2 linked regions of the Nothobranchius furzeri genome follow. Each later gene encodes a partner of the first gene's protein in a complex. Links are inferred from orthologs where the notes say so. Each region holds a gene or a part of one and is shown on either strand. Other genes may lie near its edges.

Region 1 (7,290 bases):
ACAGGCCACCAATCTTGTCTTGAAGCCATCTGTTCCTGGACAATTCTCTCCCAGTCGTCTCTGGTTTAAAATCCAAGCAAAAACTCAGATAATCAATCAAATCAAAGATACTTTATTAATCCCAGAGGGAAATTAATCAGGCTTTAGCTCCTATTTATGACAGGAAAACTAATGAGAATGTAAAAAGTTTCATAAATCTGTGCGTACCGTAACCTCAGGTCCTGAACGACGGCCTGCAAGCACCTCCACACGTCCAGGTTGCTCCTCCAGCAGGCAAAGTCCAGCATCTCAAGGAGGACTCCTAAAGCTTTTTGAGAGTCACCTATTTTCTCTTAAAACAAAAACAAAACATAAAATTAATTATGGTCAAACATTTGTTATATGGATACAAAATCATGAGTTAAAAAGCTGAAAAGATACACTCATTTAATGTGTTTTTATTATTTTATTCATTTAAGTGTGTTCTTAGGCGAACTTTACCCGACTGAAGCAGGAAGTAGCTGTACTCCAGCATCAACTCGTGGCTCGGGACTAAAACATGGAGATTCTACAACAGGAAACAGGTTATTTTGGAAGTTTTGCAAGCAGATGTGTCCTTAAATATCAGTGCTAATACTTAGGAATATATGAGATATAATCATCTGTAAAATATAAGTTTCATGGGCTGTTTTACCTTTAACACTTTGATCAGCTTCTTCTCAGGAGTGTTGTGCCTCTTCAGGAACTGATACAGAAACACGTGTGCGTTTGGATTGGGTGGAAAACGTTTGTTTAACGCGTAGTTGTTCAAGACGTTAAGAGCCTCCACGTGATCCCCGTAAAACTCCAACATCTGCCAAAATACAGTGAGACAAGAGGCAGGGACGGTCGAACGATGGGATTAACGGTCAGCATAACAGAAAAGATGTGTCTGAAAAAACAAAGTACCATTACAACAACTTAAAGACTGCAGAAGTTGGTAAGTGCTTCGATATGGTCCTGGTAGTGTGGCAAGCTGGAGAAACGAGGGCCCGGGCGGGATTCGATCCCCAGACTCCCAGGTGAGAGTCATACGCTCTAACCAGTCAGCCAAAGGGACATCCCCTTGGCCAAGTAGCCAGTGCGCATCATCAAGCGGGACATTGTGACAGGACACTCACACTGCCAAAGTTGGATGATTTTCAAAATAAGAGACTCCCACGTGTGGCATTAAAAAAAATAAATAAATCACATTTACCAGTTTTAGTGTTTGGCGCTTGGCTACACGGCAAAATCTACACTACAGATGAGAAAATCGTCAAATATTTCAAGATTAGCTCAGACCAATCGAGATCACAATTTCAGACTGGCTACACGTCACATCCAACCGGCAGAATGTCTGACCAAGACATTCCATCACGTTTAATATCCCGATTTGTGATCGGGAGCAGTCCTGCAGTCCTTCCGAGCAGACCAGAGAGCTATTAACACACCACACACGGCAGGAATATCTGATAAAACTATCTTTAAATCTGTTACAATAATCAGGCAGATCCTTGAGATGGTCAGGAGGAGAATTGGGAAAGAAACTGGCGTGAAATGGTGTTCTGTCCAATCACCATACGTTGTCAAGATTAGCATACGCGTGTTACAGCATACGCCTGACAGCACATGTCTGTCAGATCATACATTTAAGCTATATGACAATGTGATAGGCCACTTTGTCCATCAGATAATCATACTTGTTTAAAACGACCGTACGATCCCTTGACTTGTCCATTTGATAAATTTTAAAGCTTTATTTTCTAAATGTTTAGAATTAGAAGGTAGTAAAATAAAAGTGTGATACACAATCATCAGTTCATTTTTGTGGTAAAAAATTATGAACACAGTCGATAAACATTTTCCTTGTACTTTGTCGTTTGTATGCTTGACTCACAGCTCCTCGAACATAACATGACATAGTTGGACGCTGCTCCGTTAGAACACTGGGCCAAAAGCTCCTTATTAGCATCTCCAACACTTAAGGAGGTGCAACAAGATCAAACTCAAACTCATGCGATCTGTTAGGGCTCTGATGTGAATGACTCGACTACCAACAAATTTTAGCTTAACATCTGTAAAATGCACGTCGCTATTTTTGTGTCAGCTAGCATCATTTAGCTCTGGCCGCCTTCTAAATGAAACTTTAAAACACACTGCAGTTGCATTTTAATCAATCCAATCGTGCTGTTTTACAACGCCTGCGACAGATGAGCGTTTACCTCGACATAACTCAGAATGAACGGATCCCAGACTCCTGGACTTTTCAAAATCTCTTGTAGATGCACAGAAGCTTGTCTGAAATAGTTATGCAAGTCTTGGTGATCAGAGTCAAATGGATCTGAAAAAAAAAAAAAAGAAATAATTTTTTTACAGCCAGCTCTGCAGCTTGTCTGCTGCACATGCAGTTACTTTATTTAACCGTTAGAGGGCAGTATAGGACCACAAATCAAACAAGTCAAACAGGCATAAAGGATGCCGCTTCTTACTATTTTTAGAGCGTGTGCGCCTTTTGTCACACCAGATTATATAATCCAACAAGCTCCTGTAGGCCTGGATCAGTTGAACCTTGTGATGCTGAGTGGCCGACTCCTTCCCATATCGCCAGCTTTCGGCGACTGATAGCTGCTGCTTTGCCTCTTCCATCTGACCATTCAGCAGCAGGTGGAAGCAATGCTCCAGGCAAATCTAAACGCACAGACAAAACGGTGTTTTCATAAAAAAGCTAAATAAAGTGCATTGCATCAAGTATGTCGGCCAGCATACCGTCAGGTAAAGTTTAACCCCAGAGTGTTTCATCCGTTCATAGGTGATGTTGCAACTTTCCATCGTTGCTCTGGGATGATGGTGAAGGATCTCGGTGCAGATTCTCCAAACAACCTGGAGTAAAGATCAACAAAATAAAGAATTAAAAAGCTAAATGTGGTCAAATATTTTATGAGGATTTTGTATATAAAAACTTCAGTGTGAATGTTGGTTCAAAACAAATATAATAAAACAAAGTTAAGTCACCTCTTTATACAGCACAGCTGTGGCTCCGTTCCGGTCCTCTAGGATTTGAGGGTAGGACGCCATGTAGTCCGCTGCCTCTTGCCATCTATGACGCAGCATGGCTTCTCTGATGTGCTCCAAACACATCTGAACACTTCGTCTGAACCCAGTTTCTTTGTCCATCTCTGAAAACATTCATATTATTTGACCACTAAAACCCTTTCCAGGCATTTATGCTCTTTAAATATAAAAATACTCACACTTACTGCAGCTCTTCTCCACTTTTAAAGCAAGCTCATCTGTTTGCTTTGGGAGTTTATTTAACTGATGTTTGAAGGTTACAAAAAAAATTTCATTCTCATCATAAATAAGCCTGGTTTTGCATTTTAATGTAAGTCCATTTTGATTCTAGTGTAATAAATTTAAGAGTAATTCCCAACAGTGCAACTCTGCAACTTGCTAACATAAACTGGTGACTGTACTCATTAAAATATAGTAATTTTGACATTTTTAGACATCACTAATCGGAAAATTTAAGTTATACAAATTTTTGACTTTAGGACAAAGTTTACTTTGAGTCAGGGATGAGGTCCTGATCCAAGTGGAGGAGTTCAAGTATCTCGGGGTCTCCTTCACAAGTGAGGGAAAGATGGAACACGGGATCGACAGGCGGATTGGTCTGCATCTGCAGTGATGTGGGCTTTATACCGATCTGTCGTGGTGAAGAGAGAGCTGAGCCAATGATTCACCGGTCAATCTACCCTCACCTATGGTCACGAGCTTTGGGTAGTGACTGAAAGAATGAGATTGTGGATACAAGCGGCCGAAATGAGTTTTCTCTGCAGGGTGTCTGGACTCTCCCTTATAGAAAGGGTGAGAAGCTCGACCATCTGGGAGGGGCTTGGAGTGAGCCCGCTGCTCCTCCACATCAAGAGGAGCCAGTTGAGGTGGCTCAGACATCTAGTTAGGATGCCTCCTGGATGCTTTCCTGGTGAGGTTTTCCAGGCACGTCCAACTGGGAGAAGACCTAAAGAAAGACCCAGGACACGCTTGAGAGACTGTCTCACAGCTGTCCAAGGAACACCTTAGGAGTCCCCCGGAGTAGCTGGCCCGAGTGGCTGGGGAGAGGGAAGTCTGGGCCTCTGGATAAGTGGCTGAAAATGGACGGATGGTTTACTGGTGATGAAATACATGCGTCTGAAGTTATTCCTTAAAATATACAAATAAAAGAACATAAAACTTTGTTCAAGTGTATACGAATATAATGTCAGTTGATGATCTTATTCTGAAGAGCAACCCCTTAGTTCTCCAGGTGTGTTTAAAGCTGCCATTGCAGCACCTTTTTACAAACCGATTGCTTTTTTTTTTTTTGTTTGTTTGTTTGTTTTTTGAGAATGGATTGGTTGAGGCGGTACACCAATATGTGGTTTCTTATCTGGTAACCTAACCTGTACCAGCATCAGTTAGAAATTAACCAAACTACAACCTAAAGTCACCTCGATAAGCCACTAATCCTTCTTCGTAGTACATGACACAGGTCCTATCAGCGGATCTGGAAAAGGTTTATACATTCCACGTCTGCACAGTCTCTTTATTAGTATTACTAAGATGTAAAAGAAAAGAATGTAAGTGTGCTGTGCCTCTCACCTACAGACAGAGGTTTAACCAGAGGAAGCGTTGATTTATGCCCTTTTCTACAGCTTCTGTCTGAAGAATCACTGCCATCATCCAGGTTTTTGACAGTTGAGAAGTCTCTAACCTGGTCATCCAGATCCGCCATACTCAGTATGAAATTCTGGCACCTGCACAAAGAAATTAACACATTGAAAAAGCCATTTTCCAGTTAAGCTGATTGTGTGAAACGTACACATAATCAAAGGCATCTAAAACATGAATATTTCCATACATTTAAACACTAGAGCCATTTACTAGAATTTGTTTAACTCTATATTCTTTTAGAGAGACATGGCACTGCTTTCTATTAGTATCTAATTCTAAATGTAGAACACAAACATCTAAACTAGAGCAGGTGAACACCAACTCCAGTCCTCGAGGGCTACCATCCTGCTAGTTTTCTGTTTCCTGCTCTTCTTTCTTCTTCCATCTTCTTCTTCTTCTTTCTTCCTTTTTCTTCCTTCTTCTTCTTTCTTTTTCTTCTTCTTTCTTTTTCTTCTTTCTTCCTTCTTCCTTCCTCTTCTTCTTCCTCCTCTTCTTCTTCCTCCTCTTCTTCTTCCTCCTCTTCTTCTTCTTCTTCCTTCTTCTTCTTCCTTCTTTCTTCTTTCTTCCTTTTTCTTCCTTCTTCTTCTTCCTTCTTTCTTTTTCTTCTTTTTCTTCTTTCTTCCTTCTTCCTTCCTCTTCTTCTTCCTCTTCTTCTTCTTCTTCCTTCTTCTTCTTCCTTCTTCCTTCTTTCTTCTTTCTTCTTCCTCTTTCTTCCTTTTTCTTCCTTCTTCTTCTTCCTTCTTTCTTTTTCTTCTTTCTTCCTCTTCCTTCCTCTTCTTCTTCCTCCTCTTCTTCTTCTTCCTTCTTCCTTCTTCCTTCTTTCTTCTTCCTTCTTTCTTCTTCCTTCTTCTTCTTCTTCTTCTTCTTCTTCTTCTTCTTCCTTCTTCTTCCTTCTTCTTCTTCCTCCTCTTCCTCCTCTTCTTCTTCTTCCTCTTCTTCTTCTTCCTCTTCTTCTTCTTCTTCTAATAATAATAATAATAATAATAATAATAATAAATTTCCAGCAGACTATACGCTGGAATGTGCAATGCTGCCCACCACAGTTATATTACTGCTACATTATATCCTCGAATAAATGCCAGTGTGATGAAGGAATTGAACAATCAAGCTATATACACATTGGGAATTTGCACTAATCGAAAAAAAAAAAGGAAAAAGATTCCATCCCCAAATCCACCAGCCCCATAAAAAAGTTGCCGCTTCTCACTATTGTATTTCCTGCATGACAACAATAGCCTAGTGAACTAGACCAAATCCTTGTGTTGCAAAGTTTGCTAATCCTTATCTTAAATAATACATTTATTTAGTCTGGCTTGCCAGGCTATGACAACAATACATGAACAACAGTTTTGGAACTACCACACTCACACAACCCATCTACATGTTTACCAATCCTAAATAAGCATGCCGCCAGACCACAGTGCCCCAATCTCATTCTGGCAATCACCTCTTCATCTCTACGACAACAGGTTAAGGGTTGCCAACTAGTATGAGCTGACGGCTGACAAGGAAAATAAAGTCTTCCTCTACGTTCCCCTTCCCATTCTTTCTGCCACAAATTTTTTAAATAGTTACTGCATGCACATACTATTAACATTCTCTTTTTCCCAGAGGAAGATGATGATCAATGCTATTTCTAAGGATGGAGTCTTTGGCCAATGCATCTGCCATTTCATTTCCCAAAATTCCAGTATGTCCAGGGACCCAGACAAATACCACCCTAGAACCCGCATTCTCAGCGTCTTTAATGGGCCATTCCCATCTGTACCGGGTCGGCCCCAGCCTGGCCCGGTTGATTCCACACATCCTTGCCTTAAGCCCATGTGGGCTGATTCTACCCACCAATCAGAGGCTTGCTCTAATGGAAGGTGTGAATTTGCTGTCAGCAGTGGGTGTGTTGGCCCTGGTCGGCCTGAAGCAGACCCCCTCGAGAAGAGGGCTGAGAATGAGCCTTGGTTAGCCCGGAAAAATACCAGGCCACCCAGATATGTAAACAACCTACGCAACCCAGCCCGGGCCGACCCGGTACAGATGGGAATGGCCCATTAGACAACACAAAATCTCCAAAACTAAGTCATTCCATGCCTCAGATGTCCCGTTACTTAGAGTCAACAGTGCAGCAGCAGAATCAGAGCAGACAATAGTGTGAGATGGTTTATGCTCCACTATCCACTTCATTGCCTACAAAATAGCCAAAAGCTCAACAGAAAAAACAGATAATTTATCTGTCACACAAACACTTGACCTAACTTATAGCTCGACAATATAAACCCCAAAACCAGCTCTATGAAATGTAGTTTCTTTAGATCCATCAGTATAAATTTGGATAGCATCTTTGAACACTTAAATACATTTCTAACAGTTTAATGGCAACCGCTTTTTCTAATCCTAGTAAATCCAAAACAACTTCTGGCTCAGGTAATTTCCAAAACGGTATTGGAGACCACACTAACCCCACCACCATTTCCTTTTGTAGTCCTAGGAGATTTACTAGTTTTACAATATGATTTAGGAAACTGTCCTTATCCTGATCTTCACTGGACTCCCGACAATCATCTATGAGACATTTATACGCCAAGC
Region 2 (7,290 bases), on another chromosome or scaffold:
TGTTTCACTCGTCATCCCTTTCTCTAAATCGGAATCAGGAATGCTAGTCTTTTCTGTCAAAGCTCTAAGAGTCTGGAACCATCTGCCTGTTTTCCTAAGAATCATCACTACAATAAATCAGTTTAAAATATTTTTGTATGAATATTTAATACCCATCTGTAATTGTTTTTGATTTTTTCACTTTTATCTTTTTTTGTGTTTATCTTTTGTTTCAATGTGTGGCATTGAAATACTGTTTGCTATCTTGGTTTACTATTTGTTTTGATTTGTATAGAGGACCCACTTGGAAACGAGATGGTTCATCTCAAGTGGTTTATCCTCTCGAAATATAAGTTAATAATTAAAAAAATATATCATATTATACAAACTATAGCTCTACATTGCCATAATTAACAGACCGGTACCAGTAGAAGGTAAATTAGAATTGTACAGTTTTACATCTGGGATGTTTTTAAACAAATAAATATGAAATTAATATTAGTTTTTCATGTTCATGTTAGAACCATCAACCACATGTACTTGAGTAAAAAATTGACCATTTTTATTCCGTCACAATTATCAACTTACTGTAAACCAAACAATCATCTGCTTATTGTTATTTTTGAGGGTCATTAAATCAATGTTTCAGTGTTTTTGCTCCGTAAATTTGAAAGTAAAAGAAACAATCATCATCTGCAAAAATTATTAAGTATTTAATCCAGTCTGAATACAGGAAAAACATTAAATCATAAGATGACTAAGGACCTGGCTTACGCTAATTTTGGGCATGGAGAGCACCTGTTGTGCTGAGAAGGATACAATTATGAATTCCAGCAACATTATCACTTGTTCCGCTTCATCCAAAATATATTATTTGAAATGCACAATGTTGATATTTTGGTTTTAAAATACATAACAGAGTTTTCTAGTTAAAAAGTGGCCTTTCTCAATAAAGCGTCTAAAAAAGCTATTTTTTTCTAAATCTGAACTTCTGACGTAACCAAAGGGAGTTAGAAGCTAGGCTGCCTCAGCTCAGTGTGGAGAGTGGGTAGTTTTAGGGCAGCGAGGTCATGTTATCCAGTCAGTGTGTGTTTACTAGTGTTGGATTGTGTTCATGTGGATAAACTATAGTGTGTGAAGTCTGTACCAACTCCAGCCTGTCTGGACATTAAGCCCACGTGTTTCCAGATAAGAGAAACAATGCCTCTATCTCCGTGCCTGAGGGCGTTTTGTGCAGCTGAAAAGACGGACTTCTGTAGCCCACATCGGTCGGTACCGGGTCAGGGAGGTCCATTCTGGCCTCCAGATACTCGTGGCAGTTTAAAAATGCGGATTTCTGGAGCTCAGATCACCGTCAGAACCGACCACCAGAAGAGACGCGCGGCTAAGCGGGCCAGTCGAGCAGGTTTTACGTCGGTTCCAGATCACAGAAGTACCCATGAGCTGCAGAACCAGATGACAGGCGTCTCTCTCTCAGCTCAGCGGGCCAGCTGGTTTCTGGGACAAGATGACGAGGACACACACAGCAAATTAATAAAATAATGTAGTTCACAGTCTCCAAAAGCAACACAGCTCATGTTCGCCTTTTCTTTAACTTATGGAGCAGACTTTCTCACGCGTACTAAACTCTGCCCACAGGCTTGGAGATTTCCGCATTCTTGAGAAGTCCCTCTGATTTATATGTGAACACTACACGACCACCCGTTCGAGACCGAACTCACGCCATCCAGCCCCGCCAAACTCCAACTGCGCCGACGCTAATGTGTAAGCGCCATTAGCCAACAAGCTGAAGAGGACTTTTTCCAGCTGATTTATTAGGATCTGTCTGGGCTGTGTCAGACTGGGAGACCCAGAGAAGGAGTTTACTCTTCAGCTTCCTGGTTTTCCTTCAAACAGTAAGTGTATCATGAAGTCATCAGCATACGTGTACATATCCTTTCATCAAATCTAATTTTATTCATGAAGCACTTTTCATGCAATGAGTGCAACTCGAAGCGCTGTTCAATATGAAAAACAGTCAATTTCCCACCCCTCACACACACACACACACACGCACGCACGCACGCACACACACGCACACACAAAAGCTAAAGTAAATGGTAATGGTAAATGGCCTGTATTTGATATAGCGCCTTCTAGAGTCCTGGAACCCCCCAAGGCGCTTTACAACACAATCAGTCATTCACCCATTCACACACTGGTGGGGATGAGCTACGATGTAGCCACAGCTGCCCTGGGGCGCACTGACAGAGGCGAGGCTGCCGAGCACTGGCGCCACCGGTCCCTCCGACCACCACCAGCAGGCAACGTGGGTTAAGTGTCTTGCCCAAGGACACAACGACAGCGACAGACTGAGCGGGTTTCGAACCTGCGACCTTCTGATTGCGAGGCGAGCACTTAACTCCTGTGCCACCGTCGCCCAGTGAAAAGTGAAAGGACAACTGGCTGAGTACAGATGCAATAGGCAACAAAGAAACGGAAAAGGAGCCAACTGCACCGGCAGCAGCAGCTCGGGCACCAAGAGGAGGCACGAGAAGCACCCTGGCAGCCACAGCCGACTGCCTCTCCCAGGGAAGTGGTTGATTTGAGATTAAGATTAAGATAACAAATTAAAAACCAAATTAAGCATTAACACCAGATAAATAAAAGTCTAATTAAAACACACTGATAAAAAATAACCAAGTAGAAAGCAACAATTAAGTATATAAACATAATGAAATGCAAATAATGAATACAGGTTAAAACAAGTTAAAAATAATATGAAAATATAAGTAATTTAAGTAAAAGAGAAAGTAATAAAACACTGATAAAATATATAAAAGATGGTTAAACAGGCTAAAATAGATTAAACTCAGCTAAAAGCTATAATAAAAAGGTCTAAACTTAGCACAAAACTCCTGTGTGAGATAAGAAGTAAACCATTTATGGACAGCACCAGACAGGCCGATGTGTTTTAATATTGTGTTTTATATAAAGAATATTGTGGTCCACTGTATCAAAGGCAGCATTTAAATCCAGTAGAACCAGAACAGTTACTTTCTGTGCATCATAATTTATTCTTAGACCATTTAAAACTCTTAAAAGGGCCGTCTCGGTGCTGTGCTTTACTCTAAAACCAGACTGAAATTTCTCAAGACATGATGTGCATTAACAAAATCACCAGGCTGAATTAAAACAAGCTTTTCAAAAAATGTTCCTTACAAATGGTAAGTCAGATATCGGTCTGAAGTTTCTCTTCTTCAACAGGGGTCTGACCAGCGCCCCTTTAAAGGCGGCAGGAAAACCCCGCGTCTGAGAGCAGTTCATCATGGTTGAAATCTCATCTCTAAAATATCCATAAAAGGGCTTAAAAATGAAGTGACTATGGAAAAGTATGCATTCTTAATTATTGTCTCCCTGTATTATTATGAATTAATTGGTTTTGTTTCTTTATTCTAATTTTTGCTTATCATTTATTTTTCTTGCACCACGAACCGCAGCAATTTCCTAATGCTATTCTCACACATGTGGCAATAAAACCCTTCTGATTCTTATTCTCTCGCACCTCTTTGAATGATATTGACACTATTTGTAAATGAGTTACACAAACACCCATTTATTTCAGTTTTTATCGACAAGTAATATATACTTTAAATTGTTAATTAAAATGGCTGAGTAGTGCTTTCTGCTTCTCTTTCATATTTTTAAAAATACCTGCCATAGATCTCACACACATTTTGTATGATACTTTAATTATTTTGACTCTCATTGTTTGATTTTTAGTGACTGATCCTTATTTTGAAACTAAATGATAAATGATGAATGACCCACACTTGATGCAGGTGACTTTGACAGCCATGAGCAGCTCCTTTAGTGGGAGACTGCGGCACCCAAGGTGTGGGACAGAGAGATTCCGTAGGTCTTTCCTCCCTACTGCTGTCAGACTCTACAACAAAGCTGTTGGATGAAGTGTACTCTGTATTTCTAGCTGTATCTAGTATGGTTATTATTTATTATTTTTTAACCCATTCTTAAGGTATAAACTGTCTATTGTATTGAGTTTATTTTATCTCATTGCGGTCGGTCTTATTGTATTTTAATGTTTTTCTCCCTCTGCAGCATAACTTTTACTTTTACTTTGCTTGGCTGTAAACGAAACAAATTTCCCACTTGTGGGACTAATAAAGGTCATCTTATCTTATCTTATCTTATCTTATAGCACCTCTCAGAGTAAGGACTCCAAAGCGCTTTACACTACAGATTCATCCATTCACACACTCAATCGCACACTGATGGTGATGAGCTACAATGTAGCCACAGCTGCTCTGGGGCGCACTGACGGAGGCAAGGCTGCCACCGGTCCCTCTGACCACCACCAGAGGGCAAGGTGTGTCTTGCCCAAGGACACAACAGCAGAATTATCTGTCCGGAGCCGGTATCGAACCTGCAACCTTCCGATTACTGGAACACCCGCTCAGCCTAAGTTCCACACCTAAGTTCTGAACAAGAGTCACATATGTACCCAAGCAAACCCACTATGCTAAAACATGTGTCCTGTATCAGAGCTGCATGTGCGAAGTTTGCAAAGAAAATAAAAATGTTTCAAAATCAGCTTACTATCGAAGGAGTTATGGTTGATTAAACATGCTGACACTTCAATGCCTCTGTCAGAAAGGAGGGGGGGACCGATCCAAGATGACGGCGTCACCGCTCGTCATGTAATACAGGTTATTATTGGGCGTAGTAAAAACCATGGGCACTTCCCTACCCAGCATTGGGTAAGAAGCAGCTGAGGGAGCGCATTTGACTGTTGTACCTGCATTCTTGAACTCGAACAGACGAGGATCTGCTTTAATGGGAATCAGGCCTAATCTGTGAGCAAGGACTTCATCCTGGACAATTGATGTATTGTTATAGATGAACACCTTCTCAACAGCCATTGTGGGCACCTGCAGGCAAAATAAAAGCAAAGCATAAAAAAGATTAACAAAAAACATACAATGAGACATTTTTGCCTATAAAGGTCTAACTGCCTAATCGCATCAGGGAGAAAATGTTGAGTCCAGCTATAAAAATGTTGGATTCTTTCTCCTGAGAATGAGTCCAGCCTTAATTCACTGCTACTATGAATCCCATAATGTGAACATTAGAAAGAGACATAAATAATGGACCTGACCCAGCAGAAACTCCGTCATCACCAGAGATTTGAATGGGTCTGCACACTGGCTAAGAAAATTGTTATCAGTGTTTCCCCTAGAAAATTTTCCAGCCGTGGTTCACGGGGGGTGGGGTGTAACGTTTTTGGTGCTGTGCATTGGCTGTTGGGGGGGGGGGGGGGGGGATGGATGGGTGCGCATACATATATATATTAGGGCTGGGCAATAAATTGATATTTTTAAAATATCTATATAATTTTTAAACAAGATACAAGATGACTTTATATCTTTATATCAATATAACTGGTAAAACTGCTATGCTAGCGATTAGCCGCTATGCTAGCGACATGTTGCTCCGTCTCTAAGCTTCTGAACCACCTGTAAACGGTTCAGGGAAGTTCTGCTCAGACACGTGAAAAGAGAGTTGCAGTAAACTAAGCGTGAGGAGATGAAGTTGTGGAGAAGCCTCAAGTTCAGAACGGGACAGAATGGAACTCAGCTTAGCGATGTTCCTGAGATTGAAGAAGTTAGAGCGAACAAGAGAACTGACATGAGAATCCAGGCTGAGAGCTGGGTCAAAGGTCACACAAAGATCCCTGACAGAAGGTTTGGTGTGAGATGCAAGCTGACCAAGAGAGCCCCTGACTTTGAGAACCAGCTTGTCTGGGGCACAGATGAGGATCTCAGTCTTATCTTCATTCAGCTGTAGAAAGCTCCCAGCCATCCAGGTTTTGATAGAGTCTAAGCAGGTGTGTAACAGCTGCAGCTGAGACATCTCATGGGGCTTAAAGGAGATGTACAGTTGGATGTCACCTGCATAAAGATGGTAGGAGATTCCTTTGAAGAAGCTCAGGATGTGCTGAAGAGGAAGCAGATAGAGGAGGAAGAGCAGAGGCCCCAGCACAGAACCTTGTGGGACACCATATATATATATATCCAGTTCTTATTCCACCACAAGGTGTGCACCAGCACCAGAGTGTGGACACGAAAAAGATGATGAGTATTAAACTACTCTAGGGGGGTCCGGGGGCATGCCACCCCCCCCCCCCCCCTCACCACCACCACCCCTGGTAGAAAATTTTGAGCATTTTATTTTTAAAAGCATCAGTCTGGTGCATTTTGAGAAAAAAGGTAGAGTTACAGGCTGGTGAGGATGTATGATAAAGTATCTACACATGTTTACAGCATTATAATATTATATTTGATTGCGTTTATATCCTATCCTGTCTTTAATCCATTTTGAACACCGACTACAGCTAAATCCTCTTATGCATCCATGCTGCTCAGTACCAGAACTGCACTGATGTCACTAGTTACTAAAGAACCAATCAGCTGGCAGAGCTGCTGTTGAACACGTGAGCATACAGAAGTTGCAAAACTATGTGACTCAATGTAAGGAACAAAGTAGAATCCAGCTGCTGTTGTTTATTTGTCGTTTATGTTTATAGAAACTAAATCTATCTGCAGGGCTTTAGGCCCAGGGCAGTTTTAGACCTCAGACTGAACCACATCCAGACCTGTTATTAAAAATATTGTGTATTCTTTACACCAATCAGAAAATTCAGTGATGTCCACAAACATCCAAACCTTAGAAATGAAATGAAATCAATATTAAAATTTAAAATGATTAACATTGTTTCGTCATTATAGATCAGTTATCTGTGAACGTTTTTATACTTGATATTGTCCAGCTGAAGCAGACATCTGCTTATTTCTAATAGAGCTGAGCTGTGGGAGAAAATATTCAGGCTTATTTAATCGTATTTTCCACCTGTGGATTTAATGCATTCACTTAATATTAATTATAAAGTTGTAAAAAAACAGGTCATTAGAGTCTGGGCATAGAACGTGTTTCTAGGAACAGAAGCTTGTTGGGTTACGGTTAGCAGCAGCTCACCTGTTCCTGACAGGAGAAATCCTCTCATCAGCAGCAGGTGATCTACAGAGTAACAACGGCCCGAAAAAAAAATAATAAAATAAATGAAAAAAAATATAAAAATAATAATGCACCAAACTCAAAAAGGGCCACCGGGAATTTCCCTAACTTAGATCTGTGGCTCCTATTCTACCAAAACCAGAGCGCCCCGCGGGAGCGAGATTGTAATGAGCGCGAGTGTTTTTACCGCTTGGTAAACGTGGTGCAGTGGTGGGGAAACGCGTTTCAACAGCGGAACCG

Evidence for each region. Proteins that work in one complex are often made in the same cells at the same time.
Region 2: taf1a (region 1) and polr1c share a complex: the UniProt entries of both Homo sapiens proteins name them as parts of the pol I pre-initiation complex. The link is inferred for Nothobranchius furzeri from reciprocal best matches to the Homo sapiens genes TAF1A and POLR1C.

The regions. Positions count from the first base shown.
Region 1 is NC_091742.1:8,329,271-8,336,560, forward strand, and holds part of taf1a (TATA box-binding protein-associated factor RNA polymerase I subunit A), read right to left. Parts: intron 5,673-7,290; 5' UTR 5,096-5,672; coding exon 5,052-5,095; intron 4,794-5,051; coding exon 4,639-4,793; intron 3,177-4,638; coding exon 3,013-3,176; intron 2,881-3,012; coding exon 2,767-2,880; intron 2,689-2,766; coding exon 2,490-2,688; intron 2,342-2,489; coding exon 2,223-2,341; intron 833-2,222; coding exon 674-832; intron 548-673; coding exon 481-547; intron 332-480; coding exon 208-331; intron 61-207; coding exon 1-60. UniProt on the Homo sapiens protein: Component of the transcription factor SL1/TIF-IB complex, which is involved in the assembly of the PIC (pre-initiation complex) during RNA polymerase I-dependent transcription.
Region 2 is NC_091752.1:59,333,929-59,341,218, reverse strand, and holds part of polr1c (DNA-directed RNA polymerases I and III subunit RPAC1), read right to left. Parts: intron 4,908-7,290; coding exon 4,775-4,907; intron 1-4,774. UniProt on the Homo sapiens protein: DNA-dependent RNA polymerase catalyzes the transcription of DNA into RNA using the four ribonucleoside triphosphates as substrates.